4 linked regions of the Saccharomyces cerevisiae S288C genome follow. The gene in region 4 interacts genetically with the main gene of each other region. Each region holds a gene or a part of one and is shown on either strand. Other genes may lie near its edges. The genes, in order: THR1, MIC19, MRX1 and SOV1.

Region 1 (3,084 bases), on a different chromosome or scaffold from region 4:
CGTGAGATATCATCTGGCTTCAAATCTTCGATCTTACTTATCATTTCGTTGACTGGGATTTTGCGACCATGCATGAGAACTTGTCTGCCCATATCTTCCAATTCTACCAGTTTAGACTCTAGGTTCATTAGTAGTGAAGACTTCAACTGATTCTTGGCCCTGGAGACTTCGTCTTCAGTTAACCTCAAATCCTTATTAGCAAATGTATTATACATTTGCTGTGCAATTACCTCAACCGCTTGAGGAGCTGCCTGCGGTATACAAGATAATGAAATACCGAAAATACCAGAATCCGAATAAGAATGGTTGAACGCAACACAATTTTCAACAAAGTAATACTGGTTCAAAACGTGGGTATACAAACGAGAATACATCCCCTTTCCTGGCCCACCAGCACTGAAAGAACCACCACCTCCAAGTAAAGTTTGTAATGTTGCTAAAGCATAAATGTCTGGATGATCTATAGGGAGACCTTCAAATCCGATCTGGATGTGGAATAATTCTGGTAAATTCCCAAACACTGGTGCTGGTGGAATACAACTTTCCCCGCCCGTATATTGGGCAACTTTTTTGGTGATCGGAGGGTGTGTAGATTGCCAGTCACCGAGATACTTTTCTGTAAGCTCTAATGCCTTTTCGTGAGGAACACCAACAAATGCCGCAACAGTATTTTCTGGGGTGTAGAATTTATTTCTGTAGTCCAATAAGTAGTATTTAGAAATAGAAGGAATGAGCTCTCTAGGGCAGATTAAAGGGGACCCCAAAGTTTCTCCGGAGTATGCTGCTGTGTGCAACAGCTCAGGTAATACCAATTCTGGCTTCATCCAAACTTCATCGATTTCATACTCTGCCGACAGCTTCTGTTCTTGCAGTTCTTGCTCAGTAATCTTAGGGAACCTCACAGTTTCTGACATTAATTGAAGCATTTTACCCACATCCTGGTTGAACACAGAAGCCTGATACATCAAATTTTCTCTAGACGAGGTACACTGGTAATTCCCACCCAGTAACTCCAACGTCTCTGCCATTGCTCGGCCCTCGACGTGTTCGGTTGATTTGAATGCTAGTCTATCCAAGATATGTGTACAACCCTTCAAATTCCTACCTTCAAACCGTGATCCTGCGTCGATGTATAGGCCTAAGGCACTAAAGTGTCCAGGAGTATTTGATGTCGCCACTTTCAGTCCATTCGCTAGTGACGAAAGCTTAAAATTATCGGTTCTAGCGATGTTAGAGTACAACCTCTGAACGCCGTTCCTTAGCATCTTTTGTTATTAATCAGCTCTCTGCTTTGCATTAATTTGACCACCTGCCCTGAAACACCTTTCTTCTAGTCCACCTGTGTAGGCTTTTTCACCTGAATTGTTCATTCTCGATACGCCCTCACGCCGGATGAAAAATTTGTGCAAGAGTCATCATCTCGAAAAGATATGGTGATAAAAACAAGTGTACTTCTAACCTGCCTAATGGTTATAACAGTAGCATAAAGTAGATATACGGACTACAGAAAATGGTTCGTGCCTTCAAAATTAAAGTTCCAGCTTCTTCCGCCAATATCGGCCCTGGTTATGATGTTCTTGGTGTCGGTCTTTCTCTATTCTTGGAGTTAGATGTCACCATCGACTCCAGCCAAGCTCAGGAAACAAACGACGATCCCAACAACTGCAAGCTGTCTTACACTAAAGAAAGTGAAGGCTATTCTACGGTCCCATTGCGTTCTGATGCTAACCTGATTACCAGGACTGCGTTATATGTGTTGCGTTGCAACAATATTAGAAACTTCCCCTCCGGAACCAAAGTTCACGTCTCCAACCCAATCCCACTTGGCCGTGGATTGGGTTCCTCTGGTGCAGCAGTTGTGGCAGGTGTTATTTTAGGTAACGAAGTGGCCCAATTGGGTTTCTCTAAGCAACGTATGTTGGACTACTGTTTGATGATTGAACGTCATCCAGACAACATAACCGCTGCTATGATGGGAGGCTTTTGCGGTTCATTCCTAAGGGACTTGACCCCACAAGAGGTGGAAAGACGTGAGATTCCATTGGCTGAGGTGCTTCCAGAACCTTCTGGTGGTGAAGATACCGGTCTGGTTCCCCCATTACCTCCCACCGATATCGGTAGACATGTCAAATACCAATGGAACCCCGCCATTAAATGTATTGCGATCATCCCACAGTTCGAGTTGTCCACCGCCGACTCCAGAGGCGTTCTTCCAAAAGCCTACCCAACCCAGGACTTGGTTTTCAATCTACAAAGATTGGCCGTCTTGACCACAGCTTTGACCATGGACCCACCTAATGCCGACTTAATCTACCCTGCTATGCAAGATCGTGTCCACCAACCTTATAGAAAGACATTGATCCCAGGTCTCACGGAAATCTTATCATGTGTCACCCCATCCACATACCCTGGCCTATTGGGTATCTGCTTGTCAGGTGCAGGCCCAACTATCTTGGCTTTGGCCACTGAGAATTTCGAAGAAATCTCTCAAGAAATTATCAACAGGTTCGCCAAAAACGGCATCAAGTGCTCCTGGAAACTACTGGAGCCTGCCTACGATGGTGCTAGCGTCGAACAGCAATGAAATGTCCTTTACCCCTAGTATACTGTGTTAAATACTATTGTAGACCATATACATACTGTAATTGACCGTTAACGGTTATTATGCTGAGTCTTCTTCCGTTACCCGTCTTTTCTATCTATTTCGAAAATAAAAAATAAGTGAAAAGAACGAAATTTCACAACCATTAACAATACAGATAATGAATCGAAGTTGTTTTCAGTCTCAATTCAAAAGACTCATAGCCAAGGCCAGTTGATTGATTTAGCCACAAGTATCATTCAACGTAATATCCACAGGTGTTTTTTTTCTCACCGGAAGGCGAATAAAATACAGGAGCTAGAGCGTGTAAGATAATGAACAAGGAATCTAAAGATGATGATATGTCCTTGGGGAAGTTTTCCTTCTCCCACTTCCTATATTACTTGGTGCTAATAGTAGTAATAGTGTACGGTTTGTACAAGCTTTTCACTGGACATGGATCCGACATTAATTTCGGGAAGTTCTTGTTAAGGACATCCCCT
Region 2 (6,962 bases), on a different chromosome or scaffold from region 4:
TATGAGACACAAGTGGCTCTTAACGAAAGTGAAAAAGATCAATGGCTCGAAGAGTATAAGAAACATTTTCCTCCAAACTTGGAAAAAGGTGAAAACCCATCTTGTGTTTATAACTTGATCGGTGTCATTACACATCAAGGTGCCAATTCTGAGTCTGGACACTATCAAGCTTTCATAAGGGACGAACTGGACGAAAATAAATGGTACAAATTTAATGATGATAAAGTTAGCGTTGTTGAAAAGGAAAAAATTGAATCTTTAGCCGGTGGGGGCGAAAGTGATAGTGCACTGATCTTAATGTATAAAGGATTTGGTCTGTAAGTCCATTTTTCATTTTTTCAAAATTAATAGTTTTTTCGGAATATACATATACATTTTTTTACATACACATAAAAATATTTCTCTCCCTTTTACGTTCATCCGCCAATCGATAAAAATGCATTTTATATACATGAAATGGCGAATTCTTTTTGGTCGAGTTTATGTATACTTTTTCTTATTCAACCCATAACGAGCTTCTTGAATTCTTCCATCTCTTCGTAACAATTCAATGGCTTGCCCTTATTGGCCAAAAGACACTCAGTCAATTTTGCCTTTATAGAAATGCTGCCGTTGTCGGTTTTTTTATCAGATTTACCTTTGGCACCCCCATATTTCTCCAACTTTTGTAACTCTAATTGATCAAATAATGTTAGTTTCTTGTTCAACGACTCGATTTGATTATTCAATGAACTTGATGATATTCCATCAACGGCATCCTTGTCGTCGTCTGATAATAGTGAATTGTTCAAAGTATCTTCAAACTTCTTTAACGTTTCAACTTCTAGGTTAGATAGCCTTTGTGAAACCTTCTTCTCAATGAACTTTTCTGCATTTTGCTTGGTGACATAGTCTGATTCCTTCGATGAATCCAATTGAGAAACCAAAGACTGTGAAAAATCGATCTGTGTTAGCGGAGTATAGACTTGTTGTTTTTCTGCACCAGCACCCACTTTGGAAGTGTTTGAACCCATGATTGACTCTGTATTAGTCGATATACCACCTTGTTTTTGTTCTTGAATTTTTTTTTGATTAGCAATCTCTTTGAAATGTTCCTCCTCACTTGTTTTTTCCTCTGCGTCTCATTGGAAGAAGAAATATATATATATGCGACATACCACGAATATTCGTAGTTTTTTACAACAAAAACGACTCTCGGTAGCCAAGTTGGTTTAAGGCGCAAGACTGTAATTTACCACTACGAAATCTTGAGATCGGGCGTTCGACTCGCCCCCGGGAGATATTTTTTTAAATCTTGCAGCTTTCAATATTTAAATATAAGTAATAAACCATCAGTTAAACAACAGAACAAGTATTTCTTAAATCTCATGAAAAATCTAATAATGTTATTTGCCGAATTTTATTATTGATTTGGTTGGTCTTCTTGATAATTCTGTGGGCGCTTTTTTTGTGACATATTAAAATTGCGAAATTGCAAACGAAAATATAAATATATATGAATGTTAATAAATAAATTATTTAATTGATGATTGAGGATGAAATACACTTTTATGATCTGTCCTTACGCGTAATAATTACAAGAAGGTGAGAAAATTGCCTTTTTTTGCTAATTTTTTTTTTTTGGTACCATATTCAATAATTGATGCTAAATTATAAATTGATTTTATTGTTTTCCTCTTTCCTACAATTAATCTCTTTTTCTGGCTTTATGATATGTTGTTTAACTTCACCAATAATTAGAAACTGGGGGCTGGCTCAAGCTGCTGGAGTTTCATATGGTACCTTTGGTTACTGTAAAACTTTGAATTCTTTTTCCTGCTCTCGAGTACGTTTAATATATAACACCTCGAAAGAAATATTACCTGGCCCTTCTCTTGAACGTTGGTGGCTGAGTCCTAAGGCAAGACATACAATAGGAGGACTTTTGATTTCGATACCGGTTGCTACATGTTTGACTTTCATTTCTTTTGCACTTCCCTTGGTTATTATTTTTCTTTTTCAGACTGGAGGAACTAATGTCTCACTTATTACTTCCAACGCTATATTACACATATTGACACTTTTATCAACTATTTTTGCATGCACCGTGATCCTGTTACTTTGCATGCACCGTGATCCTGTTACAATTTCATCCTTATACGACTTGGTGTGGCTGGCTAACTGTTCCCTGTTCCCTCTGCTCGTTATTGGCGTGCATTTTCTCAGTTTTAGGTTTGATACGTCTGCGCAGTCAGACAGAAAACATAGCTAAAGAAGCTAGTATAGAGAACGTAGACAGTATTCTCAAACTATATGGAACGAGTCAAACATCAAGTTCCCTTGGCGAAAATTATCCACAAACAACTAAGGGCACAGACCAATCTGTGTATGACATCACAAGTCTTTTTAATGATCTACCAAGGACCTTAGATCCCAATCAAGATAAACTGGCGGTAACAAATCAAGATGAACCACCGCCTGAAATCAAATCTCCATTGAAGCAAGCAGGTTTGGTGAGTTTCTTCGCTCCAAAGTTGAATGGTAAACAAATATTTTCTAGAAGGCATGTTGAAAATCAAAAATCCTTATCTTTGGATGAAATCAATATAACCGACTTACCTGCAAAGCAAGAAAATGTGGAAATGCCTACTGAAAAAAAAAAGGCAAATATTTTATATTATGAGGGAATCTCAAGCCATTCACAAGATAACTACGACCCTCCTTGGTTATTTGGCGTTGAGGCTACCCAATCAGCCGATTGCTTTAAAATATATTCAAAAAAAAATCATTGTCTCACAGAGCCCCGCCAATATCAACTACAACAACCAAATAATTACCAGGATCAAAGTGAGGTTCCTCATAACTCTTTCATTCCTTGGTATTCCCGAAGAAGACCAGTAGGATACAACCACAATTACAATCGCTACTACTCACAGACAACTCATGGTAACAGCGAACACTCCCGACAAACATTGCCACAGACCTACAACATACACAGCATGCTCCCCAGAAAGTACAAGCCCGCCTACAAAAAACAGGCACATCGTGTGAAGAGTAATCCACAACCAGCTTATACTTTCCAATGACAAAATAACAAGAATAAAGTACTATCCAATCTGCTTTTTTTGTACGCGTTTTGTTGGCGCGCCGCAATTTGAAAAATAAGAATAAAGTACTTCTTGCTACTATTTAATGATTCCATCCGTATTCCACATCGTTGACGTCTGAGTCTGATAGACTAGTATATAGAAAATAAAAATAAGATAGAGTAAATAGTATGCTACTTTTATCGAGCCCATCTTTTTGAGCTTAATTTCTGAAACAAAGAAAGGAAGTGCCCATTTTTCCTCTTAACGGTTTCTAAAATTACTGAAGAGAAAACAACTTTTAGATGTAATTTATTTACATTAACATTAGCAGTGACTACAGAGGACAGGTATGGCGGTATGGCGGTATTTGTTAACATTGACTTTCCTTATGCGTGGAAGTACTAGTAATATTCCCTCTCGGATCATAAAAGTGAAATATCGTGCTTCACGATTTGCTGAAACTTTAACAAATTCATTGAAATTACGTGAGTTTATACTAATGAATGGACTTAATTTCTTAAGATGGTGATATCTTCCACATTGGTTTCGGCCAACAAAACTATCACTTACCAAGTACTTCAAGCAAAGTTTGCAATCCCCTATTGTTTATGGATTCTCCATCCAATTCTATCCAGAATTTGCAGCAAGAAGCCCAGGGCAGCTCTTCCGCACAGCTTGCTGACCATGATCATGATCGCGTATCAATGGCTATGCCCTTACAAACCGATCAAAGTGTTAGTGTTTCACAATCTTCTGATAATTTAAGGAGATCAAGACGTGTTCCTAAGCCAAGAACGAGCATTTATGATGAATACGAGGAAGAGTTAAAGGAAAGGGCGAATAAACCCAAGAGGAAGAGACCTGCTCCTCCTAAGAAAAAGGCACCTTCCACACAGAACTCTAAATCAAATGATAAAGTAGAGAAAAAGAAGACTACCTCAATTGCTAAGGATGGCAAACCTACACTGAAGACTAATGACAAAAAAGTGGCGCCGAAACCTAAACCAGCCCATGAACAAGTAGAACCCGCTTTGATCCCTAGCAATTGGACTTCTGTAATACCCTTGCTTACTTCTGATTTCAAGAACCAGTATAGTGTCATCTCTAGGTTAAAAAATCCGAACATGAAGCCTGTGCCATATGCTGGAGATATCATTAAGCTGATGGCGTTCATAAATAAGTTTAGTTCTTTTTTCCATTCTGACCTACAAAATTTATCATTCCAAGATTTTGAGGTCGGTTTAGATTTGTATCCCGGCGATCCTAATGGAAGCGCAGCTGGTATAGTGAAGGGTCCTGAAGACACCTCCTTATTGCTATATCCTGATTTTATGGCCATCAAGGATATCGTCTATTGCCAAGACAAAATGAATTTACTGTTCCTATCCTTGTTAGATTTAACATTTACTGAAAATTTTGATGGTAAAAGTGCCAAGAAGAAAGGTCCATTAACAACCTGGGAGAATCTAAAATCGTCCTCCAAGAAAGTATTTTCCAATCCTCTTTATCGGTTAAGACTTGTAGCTCGCGAATGGGGGTATCCACGAGAATGGCGTCAACAACTCCCCAGTGACCAAGATATCTCCAAACCTAAAACTGCTCTTTTTGAACAAGATGAACAAACACCAGTGGTGGATCCCAGTCATCCAGAAATTTTAACGCCAAATATATATACCTGGAATGCTAATGAACCACTCCCATTGGAATCAAATCCTTTGTATAATCGAGAAATGGACAAGAATGGAATTTTGGCGCTCAAACCAATGGATCGCGTTGTTTTATTGAGGGCGTTAACTGACTGGTGCGCTTCCCATTCATCTGCTATTCATGACGAGATATACAAATTAACTCATGGTAAAAAAGATCCCGTTTTTGGCATCCAAACACAACAAGTGCCTAGGTATACAATTGAAGGGGTAGATAATACCATAAATCAGTTTAAAAAACTCTGCTCACTAATTCAATCAAGATATGAAATCAGAAGTAAGAAAAAACATTTTGTTAAACAACTAAAAGAGGGTAAAAAACCAGATTTATCAAGGAAGCTAGAAATACTGAAGGAAATTAAAGCGGAATTGAAGAACGCTGTAAAATCCGAAAAGGATGAACTTTTGTTCTCACTGTACGACAAGTGGGTCCCATTGTTTGAAGGCGAATTACCTGATCAACCATTAGCCAATCCTTTTTCGGAAAGACTTTATAAATTGCGATTACAAGAGTTCTTCCTTGGTAGAGTTCCCCATATAGGTGATTTTTATATGCCAAGATTACACAGTTATGGGGACTCACTCGAAATGAGCACCTTCACTGATTTGAGAAATCTACAAGCATTGCTATCGAAATTCAAAAATAATGAATACAACGCTTTTACACTGTTTGAAAATGATGGACAATCGATGAGTGCCCAATTCAAATTGTTTTACCATGACACACCATCGTTGGCGCATGATGTTGCACGAGGCAGAAATACATCGGGGAAGGTTTATTGGTATGAATTATGCCACGATTCAGCAACACTGCTGGAGTTCTTGGAGTTCTTGGACTATAAAATTGTTAAACCTCAAGATGAGAAAAAGGAGGGAAATGAAAAAGAAAAAGAAGCACTGAATAATGAAGCGCACATATTGGAGCAGAAATCTACCACTGATAATAATCCCTCCATAAATACAAACCCGCTACCAAAAGACGCAAAATATAACACTGCGAGAAAGAAGTTACAGATATTAAAGGAATTTTTATCTGATTACTATTTCATTCTTCGTCAGTTTGAACAAATGAAAGTGCAATTTGCAGACATGAAGCCAGGCAAGAGACAGTTGAGAAGGATACAGCGACAGACTGTAAACTATAATACGGAATATGATAGCGAGGAATATGTCGATGATGAAGAAGACGACGAAGCTGATATTTATGATGACAACGACAATGATTCTTCTTTTGATGATGGTAGAGTTAAAAGGCAGCGCACTTAGACAACTAGCTTTCAACGAACGTGAAGATTGTGAAACTCCTTACAGGCTGCATTTCGATTAATTAAGTAATGTAAAATTAAGACTATTAGTACATAATTAGATACGCGTATCTTTTCAACTAAGGCATAAAAAAAAAAGGTAGAAAGTGAGGACGAAAAAGTGCAAAATATCAAAGTCAAATCTTGCGCATATTCGAGCTTACAAAGTCATTGAAGATTTATTCGCCAGTGTGGTAAAACGGCATACTGTTATCATTCTTCTGTTTTGGTATCCTTCCCCTCTGGTTTCTCCTTCGCCTCATCCAAAGACTTTATATCACTCCCAGGAAGATCGCTATCAGAACTACAGACTCTGTTAATATTTAAAAATTTTTCCTTTTCGGCAAGCACTGTGTTAACTAATTGTGCAAAAGCTTTGCTGGTTAACTCGGACTTCAACTTAGACTGTTCTTCTTCTGATAGCTTCTTGGATAGTTGACTGGTATCCGTTGCTTTCAATGGAGGAACTGAACCGTTTGCTTGACTTCCTTCGTCAAAATCTGAATCACTCTCTGTCTGTTCAAGATACAGATCTCTTAATTTCTGGATCTTCATGTTTAATCTGACTCTCTCAACAGAATTACGGAACTTTTGACGAGCATCCAATCCTTCCTTTAACCCAGGCAATAAATTGTGCGTCTTCAATTCGGTACAAATAATCCATGGATCTTCCAAGAGTTCTGCGGCGGTCGGTCTCTTTGAAGGATCCAAATTAAGAGCCTTCAAGATGAATTGTTTTGCTTTATTGGAAACGGAATCCCAATAAGGCCTATGAAACTTCACTGGATACTCACCAGTTGTGCATTCGTCAAGGAAATCTTGAACCCTTTCGGCTCTAAACGCCGAATAACCGCAAAGCAAAGTATACGTAATGACACCTATCG
Region 3 (8,673 bases), on a different chromosome or scaffold from region 4:
CAAACTGTTGGGTCTGGCTAACACCACATTCTCGCTGCGCTGTGTTCTCCGATGACGTTTTGCCGCAAAATATTTTTTTCATGAAGGTCTTTTCTTTTCGTTCAGCGTCAGCGGGCCCAAATCTCAAAGTCGCCGCCATTCTGTTTAATGTTTAAAGTTTCCGCTCACTACACCAAGATGGCAGCAGGAGATGCCAGAAAAAGCGTGGGGTCTGGTCTGGTTAGATATTAGAAGTACATACACATCGGTGGGTGTGTAGCAGTGGCGACACATAAAATGGCCATAATGGGGGTGATTTTACGTATAGCATACATAGACATCTGTCGTTGAGGTTCGCTACCAGTGAACGGATTTAACGAGCAAGCAGCGAAAGTAGCCGAAAACCTCTTATTGTTAATAGTCATTTAGCAGCCGTTCTGCTGCTGTTTTCCTGTGGGGTGAGGTGGGCTGTGATTCGGTAAACTCGCTTGCGGTCTAACAAAAACAGAGAAAAACTTGGTACAAAAAGATTTCATTGGACGCAACCGGAATCGAACCGATGACCTCTTCCTTGCAAGGGAAGCGCGCTACCAACTGCGCCATGTGCCCAGAATTTCTGTATGTGTTGGATCTCAACACGGGGTACCTCCGTATAAGCAATTTTAACCCGTAGATGATTTTAGAGTTTCGTTCCTACACGCATGAAAAAGGTAAGATTGAGTATGCCTAAGATGAACCAATCAAAGTTATAAATACCTGAAGAAATGAGTTTAGATCTGTTGGATGGTGAAACATAAAAAACAGAATGAGGAATAATCGTAATATTTTTATGTAGAAATATCAAGTCCATTGTAAGGATTCTAATATCCTCGAGGAGAACTTCTAGTATATTCTGTATACATAATATTATTGCCTTTATCAACAACGGAATCCCAACAATCATCTCAAAGTTCACCAAAAGTCTCAAGATCCGACTTAAATCTTATATAATATGTAGAATTGCCTGCAAAAGTGTACGATTTTACAATAAAAAACGTCGAATTAGCTTTTCGCATACGTCTCAACCAAGAGGAGAGCGGTAAAAATTATGGGAAACTCAATCGTTAACCTTGCGCCTGATCAAAACAATCATTAATAGCCATATTATTTTTATCAACTTCTGGACAGTCAATACTCCAGGGATAATAATGGGACCAAGCATCATTGGCAACTACTCTCAGCTCGGCACGCCAAGAATCACCGTGGCTATAGGTAACACAAAACGCTGTCTTGCCGTGATTGTGCATACTGGATACTGAAACACGAACTGCACATGTTAAATTTCCTTCAGAGGCTGTAATATCACAGCTACTGTTTGTTGACCACGTCTTGACAAACAAACTCCAACCCTCTTGCCCATCAAAAAAGATATTCGTGAACTCCTGGCTGCCGCAAAACTTCTTGTCACCGCTCCCGTGAACGGCCCATGCTACCCATTGCGCTATGTAGCTGTTCAAATTAGTCGTAAGAGTTGTGGAAGAGACGGCCCTATTGTACAACCTAGACCAAGTTCTTACCTCCACTCCGTAAAACTTGGCTCTACAGAGGGTAGATTCACCTGTTTCCTGGTTGCGGTTGTATTGCAGGTCTGCTGGTGTTTCCACAGAACCATCGACGGCTACATTAATGGCATTACTGATACTTATTGCCGTGACGTCATTTTGAAGTTGCTCGACGAGACTATGCTGAGTGAAGTTGGCTGCTTGGGTAGTTATATTACTGATAATGTTAGGGTATTCAGTAGCATCACGCTTGTTGAAGGACTCAGGTACAGTACCATTTGCAGTTAATCCTATCGTCTGGTAAAATTCAACCATAGAAACTGGAGCGATTGCCAAATCATCGTCCATTTGCCAGAATCCTGATGGCAAGCCCTGGCTTTCACCGCCCGTCAGGTAGATCTCAGCACGTGTGCATGCGCATAACAATAAGATCGCATAAAAAAATGAGACGGTATAGTATCCTGAGGTCATTTTTCTCCCTTGGATTGATTGCTTGCTTTTGTATCTTTCTTATAATAGTTCTTTCAGAAGAGCCCAATATGCGGTTATTATATAAGTTAAGTTACGGCTATGTGAAGATTTTGAATAATGTAAAACTGTTAGAAAGCATTGCCTCTTGTATAAGATGTGGTCGCATTACTTCAGTTAATGACTTGAACCAGTTTGTTTTTCAATCCACGGCTGTATTCTTCACTAATAAAACCGATTAGCGGGAGTCAGGGAAATAGAAAGAATATTTGCAAATGGAGCACCATTTTAGAATTAATTTTTTTTCAGTGCTCACAGGTTGATGATAATGACAAAATATTTTGTTCTTTAGAATTATTTACATATTGTTTAGAGATGAACGATTATTCACACTTATTACTATATTGGTTTAAAATGGTTAACAGTTTGCTCGAGATATCAACACAATCTAGTCTTACATAAAACTTTCTTTTTTGTCCCTGGAAATCTGGCGCAAACCCTTTTTCATAGGATTGACTTAAAATAGTTGAAGAGCGATTTCTCTTGCAAAAAAAGGTGCTAACCCTTCTTACTTTGGTTTATTTTCGTGTTGGAACAAGTAGTACAAAAATATACAGGCGAGTTGATATAATAACATTATGTGCGTTCTCATCGTATACTTAGGCACATCTCTTATACGCTTATATATAATTGCAACAGTAACAGAATAATGAAACTGTTAAAAGCAATATGTAGACAATGACGCAATTGAGTTACAGATCCAATATATACGTGGAAAATATGAGTTGTTACACTGAACATGTTATATTTACCTGACATACCACTATATTGTACTGATGATACTTAAGACGTGCCAATTGCGCGTGTTATATGAACCTCTCCTTCATAGTATAGGAAGATGTACTTTCATTCTTAATTAACACCACCTTTGAATAATTTATCATCAGTAACTTTCAATTAACAAAAAAAATAGGAAAAAAATTTGAAAAAACCTCAAAACTATGTACATATTGAAAGGAGTAAATAATCAATTTTTACTTAAAACTTGTCATAGCTGGTTTCAAGTATCAGCTCGGCCAAGTCCTCCATGATGCGCTCTTCACTGGTACTTGTATTTTCGCTATCACCCTTCCTTCTTGAGTTGCCTTCAATGTCCGCTAAATCTTCCAGTAATATTTGCTTCAGCCTCAAAAGGTGCCTTCTGGCAAGAAACTTCTTTCTTTCCGTGCCTTTTAAACTGGCTATTTCCTCACTGTCCAGTGACGGAAGCTTGATTCTCTCGGTTAAAACCTTGACTAAACGAATTCCCTCCAACGTAACAAACCGCTTGTCTTCTATGCTCGCTTTAAATTCCTTCCCGAACTCACCATTCAATAAAGATTTCAAGTATTCATCTAGTATACTTTTCAGTTCCACTGTAGACACTTTATCATTCATGTTCAGATTTTTAACGATAGGAAACAGGAACTTCCATGAATTAAACCTGTAAACTTTGCCGTTCAACTTTGATGAGTATGTGGCCTCTACGCTATCTATAAACCCCCGAATCTTGTGCAAAGTAGCTTCAGCATTTGATGCATCTTTGTTTATAACGGCCTTGAGACTTTGTCTTTGGAATGCGTTGTACACCAAAATTAACGTCCTCCTGGTTATTGAGATTTGTGCCGACGAGGCTACCCGTTCATAAATGTCCAGACACTCGTCGCCGCAAGTGATGGGCCTCGTTGTTATGACAGTTTCCATGTATTTGTGGTATATGCTCTGATCTAACATTTGGTTGTTCTGTGCCTCTAATGTCTTAAATATTTCCATAGCAAGATCATATTCCTTGTTTTTCAAACAGTAATTCATAAACAATCCCACAACATGTTTGTTGAGAGGAAATGGCTTATTGATGTTCCAATGACTTAGTGGAACTAACGTAGGAAAATCGCTTTGTGTCAAATACTTCTTGAAAATGGTCTTATCAAATTGAAAATATTCACAGAGGGCCCATAGTCCCATTCCTTGCTTCTCAATCTTTGGTGACTTCTGGCTACATATTACTTCACAGTACTCAAATAACAATTTAGAATCGACACAATAGTCTGGTATTTTATTCATCAAATCATTGAGTACCACCATAAAACGTTTCTCATCGGCAATCCTGGTACAAGATCTTATCATTAAGGTATATGTAATACTATCCTTTTTCAAACCTGGGCACTTTTTATTAAGAAGTTTGAACACTAGTGTTTCATCGGTACAATTTATCAGTGCCGCCAAAGCGGTATTATATTCTATTTCCGTGAGCTCATTTTTGTCACACAAACTATCTATAGTCTTCAAAACAAGTTCTCCGTATTTTTTTGAGACCAAATTTTCTTGTTTTGAGAGCCCATTAAAGAGGATTGTGATGGAATGTTGATCAATAGGGACTCCCCATTTTTTTCGCCAATTGAAGATATCTACAGCACTTTGTTGGGACTGCACAACTTCGATATAATATTTCATAATCAAATTCATCCCAACGACGCCTTTCTTTTTAGCTAGCCTAGCCAAAAAGACAGCTTTTTCCAGTTGTCCTCTTTTCAAAAATTTTTGAACATCATTGGCGATTAATTTGGAATCACGTAACTGTTCTCCATTGACGCCTAGTATGGTATAAAAGAGTCTCTTATCTTTGGTTAAGGATAGGAACTTCAAGTCGCTTTGGCTAGTTGGCCCCAGTTTTGTATCTGCTAATGCCTCATTATTTATTTTATGAAATTTTCGAAGAATATGAAAAGCTTGATCCTTGGGGTATGCTGTCTTTTGCAGTTTTTTCAATTGTCTTCTTTTCTTAGAATTTATCCTTTCCAATTGTTTGGATGTTTTATTTAATATGAAACCGTGACGTTCTAGCTCATGTAGTCTTTCTTTTACTTGAGTTTTCTGTAGATTTGTCAGTGAATGAAAAGATCTTCTCAGCAGATGCTCTGTGAGATTAATTGCAGTGTTTATTCGGGGTAGCATTCTAGTAAATATACAAGTGTCTACACCTATTCTTGAAGACTGCGATGACTTTGAGGATGATTGATTCAGATCCTTGGTTCTCAGCTGTCCTTTTGTAATTTTTAGACCCATCTTTATTTTGCCGTAACTAAAAATAAAAACTAAAGAGCAGTGCCCAAGAAGAAGAGGAAAAAAACAAAAAGAAAGCTGAAGAAAAGTATCTCAAGATATTTTCAGTAAATTTTTTTTTTTTTGAATTTTCCGTTTAATATTAAAAGACCTTAAATCGATAAGTTATGTATCTGTATATACAGGGTGTACTCAATTTAGCAATAACATTACAGTGGTGCCACTTGGTCCTCCTCGAATTTTGTAGATAAGCCATTTTGCATGACATTTTCTAAATCGTCAATTTCTTTCACTGCTTCAACAGTTAAATTAGTGTAAGTATCTTCACCAATGGCTATGTCATCTTCAATTCTTATTCCGACGTTTCTAAAGTAAGATGGAAATGATTCCTCGTTAGGAATATATAAACCCGGTTCAATAGTAATAACTTGTCCAACCTTTAATGGTTCGTACCTGGAAACTTTAGGCACATCGTGAACATCTAGACCTAAATTGTGTCCAATATAGTGCGGATACAATTTTTCAACATTCCAACCGGAGACTTTATCTATGCCCAAGTTTTTCAATTCCTGTTTCATGAGTGTGATACTCTTTTCATGGATGTCGTGGAGGGAATAGTTATTGCTAGCTTTACATAACTTAATGCAATCACGCTGAACATTTAATACAGCTTCGTAGAGATCTCTTTGTGCATCAGTGAATTTCCCACTATTGGGCCACGTTCTCGAAATATCAGCACAATAACCACCCAAGGAGCCAGCAGCGTCTACAAGAACCATTTCGTCGTCAAACATCACATCATCGTTTCTTGTGTAATGGATACACAAAGAATTCGAACCAGTAGCGACCACGGGGATATATGCGTCCTTATCGCAACCACCGGATATAAACTTGTAATGAAGAAAGGAATCTAAAGTTCTCTCATTCCTAAATCTTTTAGCAAAGGCTTGATTGAACGATCTTCCTGATATTTGGCCAGCTCTCCTCATAATTCTCAACTCTTGAGGGGACTTGATCTTACGGAACTCTGCAATTCTTTTACTGATGGGTTTGATGGTCTTATTCGCAATGGAATTCAATGATCGATTGCTATTCCCACTGCCATCTAACAGGCTCTTGATGTGTTTAAAATTGGACGAACTGGGATTAGAAGTTGATAGCATATCAAAATAGATGAAATCATTCCTGTTAATTATTTTGGGCAAATATTTAGACAAATCGTTAATGGAAGCAGATTCATCGGCATTGAAAATTTCTTGAACACCATAAACCCCAGACCTAAATCCTTCCCACTTTTCAGCAAACGCATCCTTTGGCGGAACCAGCATGTGGAAAATTGTATCACTTAAACTATCCGTTGGCTTTTCTAAAATCATGACCGAATTAGGTTCATTCCAACCACTAAGATAAAACAGGTCATTTTCCTGTTGGAACGGATAAAATACTGCTCCAGATGCAAATTGGATATCGTTACCAGCTAAAATCACACAACTTTTGGGAGGCAATGTTTCCGCCAACCTAATTCTTCTTTCATAGTATTCCAAGGCTGAAATGCCTGGTGTCAACTCGCCCGACTTTATAAGGAACGGCCTTGTCTCATGCAGTGGTTGGCCTGCCTCAATGGGGATTCTGACTCTATTAGTAAAAGTATTACTTTTATGCTGTTCCAATGGCGATACCAACTTCGAGAAGTATCTTTGGCAAGATTGCATAGAAAACCGTACTGGGTTTATCCTATGTAACATATCAACAGAAAATGACCACTTTTCCTATTAGCTTTTTCTATTATATTCTTTAGAATTGGTGGAGTTTCTTGCGCAAACGATCCACTTTTGCAGTGCAGTAAGTGATCCCTATACCAGGTGAGTTGATATATATTTACTGTATCTTGTACTATTTTATGAACAAGAAAGGCTATTACTCACAACAGTTTTGGTTTCAGTCAAAGTTTATGTGTGAGTGTGAGTGTGAATGTGTGCGTGTTGCATAATTGCATTTGGCCTTTCCGAGAAATAAGTCATTCTTTATTTTTCTCTCTTTACGGTTTAATGGTGCGGCTTTCGTATCTGCGTCTCATCCTTCCCCCTTGCCGCTTGTCAGAACTCTCTAGCTTGGCGATTCTCTATCAACCTGTTATTCCAATTCTTATATCTACCATTACCTTCCAGCATTTTTTCAAATGTGTTCACACGCCCTGTAACGTTTATATATAAATATTTTAATATTTAACTTAGCTTATGCATATATAGTTAAAAGGGATAATAACAATAAGAATAAAAAACACAAACTGCTGAGATAAGAAAAGGAAGCGAATAGTTAATAATGCCTGATTCATCACATTCAATAAGCTCAAAAGATGTTGCATCTGCCATCTCTCTCTATGATCAGTCCATTTACACTAATAACAGGTCTACTAACCTGGACTTAGATCAGAGATCAATGAGCCCTTCCAATATTGCCTCTGGTGAAGATAGGATAACGAGAACGAACTCAGGTTGCTCCATCACATCAGGTGCCTCCATGATTGCCACGAAGGATGGTATTCAGGGGATTAATGTCAAAAGAGATGGGATTCCGAAATATTCACTTAATTTATTGAATTCCATGGTTCGAAAACAATATGATCACAATAATGGAACAAAGTCTCCTACCCCGAAGACTAGCAATATGGTAGACCCTAAGAACAAAAAGAAGAACAAAAAAAAGAAGAATGACAAGGATGACAAATACAAGGTATCGCATGATCAAACCGAAAAGTTTTACAAACTCAACACCACTTCCAACTCCAATCTCACCTCTGATTCTACTACTTCGTTATCGGACCAGTTTTATTTCCAGAAAAGTAACGCTGATTCTGCTCCATTAGACAATGCAAATTACCCACTCTCCGACCATTCCCCCTCCCTAAACTCTATGGATAATACTACAAAGCATAGCAGCAATGTGCACACTTGAATCACGTGAACCACAGTAACCTAATTGCTCAAATTTTGAGAGTTAAAGGAAAGAATAAAATATATAAATGATACGTTTATACCCGCTAAAAAAAAAAAATATAAAACAAAAAAAGGATCTCATAAGACGATTTGTTGGGATATGTCCACATCTTTCGGCTATATACTACATTTAGCTGTTTCCCGTTTCTTTGTATTATTCCCTTCTTATGTATAACTTTTACTAGTAATAATTATAATAAATATTCGTTTTGAAACATGGTAATTTCAAATGTTCAATGTATTTTCGGGCCGATTGCTGACCAGCGACACTTTAAGCCGAACTGTATTTAGTAGACTCCCTTTTCTCATCAGCGAAGAAGAAGTAGCAAAAGCTGTTTAGCAAGCAAGACAGCAATACGAAGACCAAGCATGATTAGGTACACTGTTGCTGGCCATTCCAGAAGGTGTGTAGTAGGAGCTTCGAAAAGAGTGGGTGCAATTAAATGTATCACCGTCGCCGCCACCAAGAGATTTATCTCCAATAAGCCAAACGAAGTTTTTACCAAGCTAACGAATGACAATGATCCAAAGAGAGATGCCTTTTTCAAATATACGTGGGGCTCATGGCTTAAAAATGATAAGCAAGA
Region 4 (9,582 bases):
TTAATTTTAGCAGTGATTATCATGGTAACTCCACTAGGGGACTCACCTGAGATGTTATTGTTCACGGCCCTTTTTTCGCTGCCAACGTTCATGCTATGTCTTTTATGTTTTTTGGTAGATATTCTTCTGTTCATCTCCAAACTGGACTGGCCCGGCTGGCTAATGCTAGCCGCTACTATTAGCGTAGCACTTTGTTGTTCCATGCTGTGGGTCATGAGAAGAGTTGTGTCAGTCAAAAAATATGAATCGCAACAGTCAATTGCGCATGCGTGCTCAATGGAACAGTACTCAATTTCCGACATTTACCAGAGTAAACAGAACGGCAATAGCTCAGAATATGAAGTGGCTCCAACACATACAGATAGTCTGATTGCTCCAGAAGTGACATATAGAGGGTTCATTGAATAAGTAACATCATGTGTCATTTTGCACGTTACATCGGTTTGCCAATCGGCTTCCAAATATTTGTACATTTTTTTCTTCCTCCATCACTATCTGTTAAGGGTCTTAGAAAATGATTACTACAGTGCAAGAAATCAGCAAATGGAGAAACCTGTGCTTCATTAGGATGCAATCTCGCAAATGGTACCCAGTACTTAAAAAGACTCCTTTAGTAGCGGACGGTCGAAAGATCATTAAACATGCCGATAAAGTTCCTCATCCGGAAGAAATAATTCACCCATTTTACCAACCAACAGCAATAGAACAATTCACGGCATGCGCTACGGAATACAATCCTAGCCTGCTTGATGGCAAAAAAATTGCTCCATCACTGATAAAACACCCGGTGAGCCTAAAAACCATACTAGTTGATAGCAAATTAAAGTTTGATGATATTAGGGGAGTGAATAAATGGTTGATGGAATTCGTTGCAAGACGACAACATCAAAGAAATATTGTACTTACACCTGCGAGCAAAAGCGTTAGATCTTTTCACGTTCTGCATTTGTCTTCAACCGATATTGCCAAATTAAGAGGTCTTGAAAATATATTATCAGAGATTGAAAACACGAATGATTTGCAATCCAGGGTCGAGTCCGTAAATAATGAACTACAGAATATTTTTGACCGCGACAGTAAACAGACAAGATTATTTTGCGAGAATATACTGGCTTATTTGATAAAGAATTATGGAAACTCGACTGAAAAACTTATACTACTAATAAATGTTACTGAGATGCAATTATATTCACGTTTAGACCAAATGAAGGCCATGAACATTATTTTATATAATATCCTTTGTAAAGTGGAAGCAAATGAAAACCCACCGTACAGTCCCACATTGGTTACCGCACTAGAAAACCTATTGGCAGCGATCAACAACAGATTTTTTCCAGGGCGTTGCGAAAATTCATTGCACCCAATAGTAATTGAACAACTATTATCATATTTCATTAAAACCGGCAATTTGAATGAAAGCAAAAATTTTTTGGGCCATTTAATAAAAAAGGGTATTTTACCAGAGGCTACTATCATTAATAGATATTTGGAGGCAATTGATGTTCATTTCGATAAAAGCACTAAGATTTTTGATATAAGATCCAAATTTGCATTCATAGCAGATCTTGCACCCATAATAGAAAATTATGGAACAATAGACCTGTTCAAATTTTTGATACCTATGTGCCGGCATTTCGACGAATTGTGTTCTCTGCTAAATATTATTCGAAAATCCAATAACGCAAAACGGGCTGTGGATAGCACCTTACCTATTTTTATCAAAAAAGTATTAACATTTACTAAAGATCCAATGATCAACTCCGGAAATCTATCCACTGTTTTCAATATAGTGAGCCCAATATATGGACAAAACGTGCCCAGCGAATTCGTGGAGAAATTTATACTGTCTTTTGCACTTCAAGGAAATTACACTATGATGGCTCATATGATAGATACATATAAGATCAAACTAAGTCATAAATACCAACTACAAATTATTAGGGCTCTCAAAAATAGTGAGAGAAATCACGCGCTTAAGAATACGGGCGCTGTAGGTTATAATAAGGAATTTAAAAAGTACTTCATCGAGAAATATTTGAATTGCACTGAACGAGAAGCTTTACGCCCATAAATCGTCTATATTAAAAAAAAGGCAGCATAAGAGCAACTCACTGCAAAGGGAATTGCGCATTCCACGCAAATAAACAATGTAAATAAGAATACGTACTGTAACTGTGTCACACTAGCGGGTTGTTTTATCATAATTGTTTGGGATTAATCCTGAACAAATTTTCTATATATAAACACTGGTTCGGAATACCAATGAAGTATACATATTCTGGTTCAACAACTGTTTCTATTCAAAAACTTTGAATGTTTGAAATGCGCTACGTCTATTTGTTTGCAATTTGTATTAAGTTTGTTTCAAGCTCCGAACTAGGAAAAATCAACAATCTGCTGCAAGGAAGATTGATATACACAGATAATTCCGTTGCGACAAATGTATTAGAATCCAAATTTCCATTCTTGAAATCAACATGTGTTAAAGACGCACTAAAATTATTTTTGCCACAATGTATTGCAAATGGACTTGAATCCATTGACGCTGAAACAAGGGTAGAAACGGCCATTAAACTTTCAATATGCGAGTTTCAGGCATCTGGCTTGGGCGAAATACCAGAAAATTGCATGGTTGACGACCTAGGATCAATGATGGATTGTATGTTTGAACTAGAATCATCTTCACAGTGGTGGACAACTTATAGTGGAAATTATCAGCGACTATCGAGTATTTGTTATGAAAATCTTCTTCCTTTTGAAAAAGAACAGATACTGAAACTTTTTCTAAATATCACTGAACTTTATGATTCATTTGGGGATGATGTCGATACTAAGTTAAATCATCTGATGTTTCAAATGGAGCAAGATTCTCAAAATTTTTTGGACGATCTGGCCAGGATGTTCCGCAACTATGACAATGAACTGCGAAATGCGACCGAAAGCAATCGAATAATCTTAGAAAACGACCTCTCATTTTTTAGAAATAAAGTGAATGATGTACTCTATGAAACTTCCGAACAACTAGAGGTCCAAATCATAGAGAAGAACAGTCAACTAATGAATGAAGTTGATACCGTCCATCATATTATGAGCGATCTAGCCGATGAGCTTGCTAAAAATGACATAAAATCTAAGATAAATGACTTGAAGGACGACAGCCTGAATAATTTACAGGACCTAGTGGAAATGTCCAACGACGTAAAAGAATATTACTCTAGAAATAACAAGTTAGTTAATACCGAGTTGGAAAACTTCTCGATGGGTTTAAAAAAACAGTTAGGAGGCATGTCAAAGGATCTTTCTGAATCACAAATGGAAGCTATAGAGCTCTTGCAAGGGTTCAATTCCATCCTTCATGATTCATTGTTACCATCCATGACGGATGAGATAGTACCTGAGATGACGAACTTCAAAAATACCTTACTACAAGAATGGACAGCTATAACATCTACACTAAATGGAGATTTTGCTTTATGGAATGAGGAGATTTTTTCAACTTTTAATGATATTTCAGAGAAACTGAATGGCACAAAAAAAAAATTAGACGACATTGAAATCAGAGTCTCACTTGTCCATAAAAATGTCATGACAATGATGAGGGTATTGGATTTTATGTGGAAAACTAGTAAAATGATTATAAGATGTGGGTACCTTGCAGTCAAGAATAAATACTACTGGTTACTGTGCTCCGTTGTGTGGATTTGGTCAAAATACCGTACGTCTCGAGTAAACGTCAAAATGATTCCTATTAAACGCTATTACCAATGGGCAGCTCTTCTACTTTCAATTTATCTAGGAGCTAAGACTGGCTCATTGATTGATTTTTAACATTACCGATGTAACAATATATGAAAGCCTATATATACATAGATGTATAGGTATATAGCCGCATTCAAAGTCTAGCAAAATAAATATTCTTTAAAAATTCAAGGACACCGGATCATGGTGGCCATAATACGGGCAAGTGAACCTAGAGAAGGTGTCCTACGTCACTATCCAAGTTAATTTGCTTAAGAGAGTTCGAGTGCAGCACCTACAGCTTTATCATTGAAGACGAAGCAAAAAGATCTTGAGATTCTATATCATGGGCACAGGTAGTATTCATTAGGTAGTAGTAACGTATTAAACAAGGCCATACTATATTTATAACTCATGTTCAAATACAACCGCTCACTCTGTAGCAGCGCTTTGATAGCAAAGTCTCAGATTCGTTTTTATAGATTGAAGCGGGCGCCATTGAATTATGCCTCCCATATACCTGAAGTTCTTAATAAGACCATCATAGGGCCAGACGAACCAGAAAAATGTCTCATTTTGAAAGGAAAAACATCAGAGGAAATCGAAAATAATCTTCTCAGTAATAAGAAATTTCAGGAGATCAATCCTCTTGATACTATCCAGGAAACGTTCATTCAATATCTGAAATTTTGTAATGAAACTAACTTTAAAAGAAGTAACAAGAATTTAAACAGATTAAAAAAAACCTTAGAAAGCAAGGACTCTAATAGCACCGTAAAAATTAATGCAGTTTTCAATTATTTGCTCGAAGAGTGTGATTTAGAAATCAAAAGATTGAACACGACCGGCCAAACCCAGGTATACAATGAAGAGAAAGGAAATGAAGATGACTTAGAGCAATCCATAATGAACGATATTTTCCGATCAGCACAAGAACAATTTGAAGATCAAGAGGGCCATATACCGTTAAGGAGTACATCATTTTTACTGGAGATTTTGAAAAGTTTTAATGAACGGTTTAATGGCATAATCAAACCGAAAGAGTCAATAACAGAAATGGTCACATTCAGCCAACTTGCTCAAGCTTTTGAAGTTGTTAAATTGATACCAGTGCAAGAAATGAAGGAGAAAGGGATTTACTTGGTCGGAAATTTACTTTATGGCACAGGGAAAGTTCGTTTAGATCCTATAAATGAGTCATTCTATATTGAATCCCTACTAGTTTTTGGAAACTATAAGGCTGCATACAGTTTATTTATTACCAATAAAGACAAAGTAAACGAGCGCTGGTGGAATGAACTAGGATTAATGATCACATTAAGGTCTAACCACTTGAGAAACTTCAGGAAACTTTTAGCCGAGACAGATGCAAAGTACTCAACAAAGTATTCTTATTTGAGCCCAAGAGTTACCAAATTGAGCATACGAAAATATTTGTCGATTGGCAATGTTACTGAAGCTAATATACTGACTGATCGATTTATTAAGTTAGTGGAAGAAGTTGGAATAATCAGAATGAAAGATGAGCAGGAGGAACTTCCCACGGGAGTTAAAAATTTTCAGAATGAGAAACATGCAACTGAGTTCTTAAATGAACTAGAAATACCATCGGATCATGATTATATCAGCATTGTTGATTTCCATCTTTATAAGAGAAATATTCCCATGGCGGCTCAACTTATCAGCAAGTACATGGAAATACCTGGAACGACACAAGAAGATGCCGCATTTCTACTTGTTAAAACCAAGCTAAATATGTTGAAAGATTTTGAAAAGCTACGAAACATTTTTGCTCAAAATAAAGATTATGTAGTGCCTGAGAATAATGTGAAAATGTTGCAAGAGGCATTTGAGAGCGTTATTACTAAGTATAACACTAATTCTCCAATATACAATGAATTGCTGTTTGAGAATGTTTCGGCCTTAACAAAAAGTATTGTATTAACTGATTTTCTGGAAGAGTTCATTACTAAACAGGCTTCTGGACAGTGGATGGAATTAAACAGTGTGTCACGTTCCAGAAAGTTTAATGGCTTGTTGAACATACTTCTCGGTACAGGTGAAGAAGAAAAAGCATATAATATCTTAAAAAAACTAGAAGAAGCCTCAAAGAAATCAAAAACAGATCCAGATTTACTCTATAATCAGTTTTATTCGGAAGTTAATGCATATCATTACGCTAAATTTGTTGAATTTTATAGTCTTCAAATTCAAAATATGAAGGCACAAAATACGCCCTCATTTAGAAAAAAGGAATTTAAGCAGAAAGTGAAGTCACTTTTAAAAAGAATGCAGGAGTCAGAGGTTATCCCAAATGCTGTTTTTTTGAGAGAAATACTCAATTTTTATGATAGCATGTATGACTTTAATTCAAGTTTTGAGATCATCAATCCGCTACTTGAATCCAAACAACAGGTGAGCTCTGAGTCTTCATTATCCACCTCAAACCCTTGCCGATTTTACAACCGTCGCATCATAACAAAACCGCTGTACCACAAGATTTGGTCTGTGTATTGCCATTATTATCATGTTTTACAAAATAATTCTAGGATTTTATCGAAAAAGTCGTCCATTGTAAAGAAATTAATAAAAAGGCAGATAAAGATTCACCCAACTTGTCACCCAAGAGTATTGTTCCAAATGACGGCAGAAAATGGTGAAATTTTGCCAGACAAAACTTTTTCTAAATTAATTGTGTCCACGTTCATGAAAAGCGGGGATTTAGAAGCAATACCTGCCATATTAACGTTTCTAACGAAAAAATTTGACTTGAATATTGATTACGATTTGAGTATGTATATTCTAAAGGGTTTGAAAAGACAATATTTACGAGATATTAGTAACATCAGTAAAGATGCTTGTGAGTACAAGTTACGGAAGGCGGAGCTAATGAATAATGAGTCAATCTTAAAAAACATTCCACAGGGTACAAATCAAGAGAATACAATATCCCATTTGATCAGGGAGATTTTGATCTTTATAAAATGGAAGGAAAAAAGTGATTGTTCTACTTTCTTGATGGTAGAAGATGCTTTTAAAGAATTAGGAACAGAGTTTACTTTACTCGAAGAATTAATAGAAGATGTAAATAAGTTAAAGATAAAAGCCTAAAAAAACGGATGCATTTTATATAATTTTAGCTATACGTGTACATATTTGTAATAAAGTTAAAAGAGGAGACTGTTTAGCTTTGTATTTATTTTTTACTTAATTTCATCCATTTAGGTACTCTATTTAAAGTCTTTTTGATACTTGTAGCGTTATCAGAAGGGCCCTGTGGATTGGATTTATTTATCGTATTAACTGATGGGGTTGTCCTCGTTTCGTGTGTGATTTTTTGTGCGTCTTCCAAAAGATGAGCCTTTATTAATGGGCCATTAGAATTTGAATTTGTTTCAAAAAGCAGCATTGTTTTAGAGCCAAATTCCAGGTCATCCAGTAGCTTCTTATCGTCTTTAGCCAAGGGTTTGAAAGGATGAGATTGGTTTAACGTAAAAGGCATGTTCTCATCGATCAGGAACTGCGACACGACGTTATAAACTGTACGCATGTCTTCATTGGGTTTGAATGCTATTTGAATATGGCTTCTATCGGGGAACTTGACTCTCAGCAAACACTCAGATATAGCCTTATTTTTCTTTGGCAAGTTGTTGGCTGATTGCTCTCTAAGTCTCTTTGTCAAAATAGGACCACCCAAAGTACCAGCCTTCGATGATAACATTTTTTGGTATTTCTTGGCTTGTTCTACTGTCAATTCATAATCTTCTTCATCCTCGATTTGATCCTTGATAACTGCTAATGGCTCATCCGAGGGCAAAAACACAGAAGGTTTATGTAGTTCGTGAGGTGGTAGTGAAGCAACCGTTTCCGGGTTCGTCATCGTAGGGGGAGTTTGTTTTGGGTGAATAGCGCTATTAGCGCTAATGCCCTCAGAATGAGATGTATTATTAAAAATCAATCTAACTGACGAAGGCTCCTGAATCCCTAAATTTTCGAGAGTCAAATTCTCATCCTTAATTGTTTTGAACTCTATTATCTTGGAAAAGACCTGGATCTTAAAATCATCTCCCGCAGCGCCGCTCATCTGTCGCAAGATAGGGGCAATTGGTTGGTCAGATGGCATTTCTTTAACCACGGAATCTCTTCCTGGGATTTGAAACCGTATTTTGATCGTATTGAATGGAATATCTTCGCGGTTGGTCTTATTCGCCACCGGAAAATTACTACTTTTAGATAATTCTAAGTTGACACCCGTTGGTAAGTTTAGAAGCCTCCATGGCAAATCTAATGGCACCGGTTTATCCAAATGTATCAATGACCAGTCGTTTGACGAGGTGTGCAGTTGAAAGAATTGTATGGATTGGTGTAACACATCGTTTAGTGTTGAATTCAACGAAACTTTACATTTGAAAAGTTGGAAGTTATACTTCACGGTAACCATAGGCATTGTATTGTGCGCTTATTAGTCTGCCTTGCTATTCTTCGCAGTACGTAGATTTATCTTAGTTTTTGCATTTTTTGGTTTTCTTTTTTTTTTGCCACACATAGTACAATAAAAGAGAACTTGAATCTTTGAAGAAACGTCTAAATTAACATCGAAGATAGAAGACAGGGAAACATCTAGGATTGCAAGAAATAGTGCTGAAATTTTGTAATAAAGTTGCAAGAAATAGCATCTAGCGTTTTATAAGGCGTACATCTTTCTTGGCAAGAGTTCCAAGAGAAAAGAGGAGCAAAACAGCGGTTGAGGCGCCCGCTATCTTGAATATTATACAGTTTCTTTAAAAACGCTTGTACAACACTGCATAAACATGGACAAATTATTGAAATTGTTTCAAGATATTTCCCATATCATATTCCAATAGCGTTACTCTCTCATCGCTTATTCTGGAATCATTATTTTAATAAAGATAACTCACACGATATACGTGTACTGAGCTGACCTTTATACCTACCCTTACCTGCTTATTCCTGATAAAAATGTTCGTGCAACTAATTGTTTGATTTCTCTTGCGGCCCGGTTATTCCGGAGTTGATACTTTTTTTCTTCTGTCTTAATTACGTTTTTTTCCTCTAGACTTTTTTGATCTGGTACAATTGAAAATGTATAAATCAACTGGACCCTAAAAATAAAAAAAAAAAACGCCCATTAGAAAAGAGGATATATTGAACAAAAGATGTTGAAAGAGCCCTCAGTTCGCTTGCGGGAGGCTATTATTGAAGGCAATTTACTTATAGTGAAAAGATTATTGCGACGGAATCCGGATTTGCTAACCAACATAGACTCAGAGAACGGATGGAGTTCATTACATTACGCCTCATACCATGGAAGATACCTTATATGCGTGTATTTAATTCAGCTGGGGCACGACAAGCATGAACTAATAAAAACCTTTAAAGGAAACACCTGTGTGCATTTAGCATTAATGAAAGGGCACGAGCAAACCTTACATTTACTTTTGCAACAATTTCCGCGATTTATCAACCATCGCGGAGAGAATGGTAGAGCCCCCATCCATATAGCATGTATGAACGATTACTACCAATGTCTGAGTCTGTTGATAGGAGTTGGTGCTGATTTATGGGTAATGGACACTAATGGCGACACGCCGCTGCATGTATGCCTGGAGTATGGCAGTATAAGTTGTATGAAGATGCTTCTCAATGAAGGTGAGGTGTCCTTGGATGATAATGTCAGGGACAAGGGAAATTGGAAGCCAATAGATGTAGCACAAACGTTTGAAGTAGGTAATATATATTCAAAAGTGTTAAAAGAGGTGAAAAAGAAGGGGCCACCGTTGGGTGCAGGCAAAAAACCAAGTTCATTCAGAACTCCTATACTAA

What was found.
Region 1: mutations in SOV1 (region 4) and THR1 impair growth when combined (synthetic growth defect), as found in Saccharomyces cerevisiae (one study listed by BioGRID).
Region 2: mutations in SOV1 (region 4) and MIC19 impair growth when combined (synthetic growth defect), as found in Saccharomyces cerevisiae (one study listed by BioGRID).
Region 3: mutations in SOV1 (region 4) and MRX1 impair growth when combined (synthetic growth defect), as found in Saccharomyces cerevisiae (one study listed by BioGRID).

Annotation. Positions count from the first base shown.
Region 1 is NC_001140.6:157,928-161,011, forward strand, and holds THR1 (homoserine kinase), read left to right. Parts: upstream 1-1,510; coding exon 1,511-2,584; downstream 2,585-3,084. Other genes in the region: MAS2 (mitochondrial-processing protease subunit alpha), read right to left, coding at 1-1,265; VMA16 (H(+)-transporting V0 sector ATPase subunit c''), read left to right, coding at 2,917-3,084. UniProt on the Saccharomyces cerevisiae protein: Commits homoserine to the threonine biosynthesis pathway by catalyzing its O-phosphorylation.
Region 2 is NC_001138.5:166,246-173,207, forward strand, and holds MIC19 (Mic19p), read right to left. Parts: upstream 1,014-6,962; coding exon 501-1,013; downstream 1-500. Other genes in the region: ubiquitin-specific protease UBP6, read left to right, coding at 1-321; DCV1 (Dcv1p), read left to right, coding at 1,643-2,251; YFR012W-A (uncharacterized protein), read left to right, coding at 2,979-3,065; IOC3 (Ioc3p), read left to right, coding at 3,677-6,040; calmodulin-dependent protein kinase CMK1, read right to left, coding at 6,292-6,962.
Region 3 is NC_001137.3:311,508-320,180, forward strand, and holds MRX1 (Mrx1p), read right to left. Parts: upstream 5,094-8,673; coding exon 3,027-5,093; downstream 1-3,026. Other genes in the region: YER076C (uncharacterized protein), read right to left, coding at 1,083-1,991; ICP55 (aminopeptidase), read right to left, coding at 5,300-6,835; YER078W-A (uncharacterized protein), read left to right, coding at 7,139-7,303; YER079W (uncharacterized protein), read left to right, coding at 7,413-8,045; AIM9 (Aim9p), read left to right, coding at 8,456-8,673. UniProt on the Saccharomyces cerevisiae protein: Component of MIOREX complexes, large expressome-like assemblies of ribosomes with factors involved in all the steps of post-transcriptional gene expression.
Region 4 is NC_001145.3:397,389-406,970, forward strand, and holds SOV1 (Sov1p), read left to right. Parts: upstream 1-4,152; coding exon 4,153-6,849; downstream 6,850-9,582. Other genes in the region: RIM9 (Rim9p), read left to right, coding at 1-408; AEP1 (Aep1p), read left to right, coding at 515-2,071; KAR5 (Kar5p), read left to right, coding at 2,314-3,828; UBX4 (Ubx4p), read right to left, coding at 6,935-8,185; AVO2 (Avo2p), read left to right, coding at 8,916-9,582.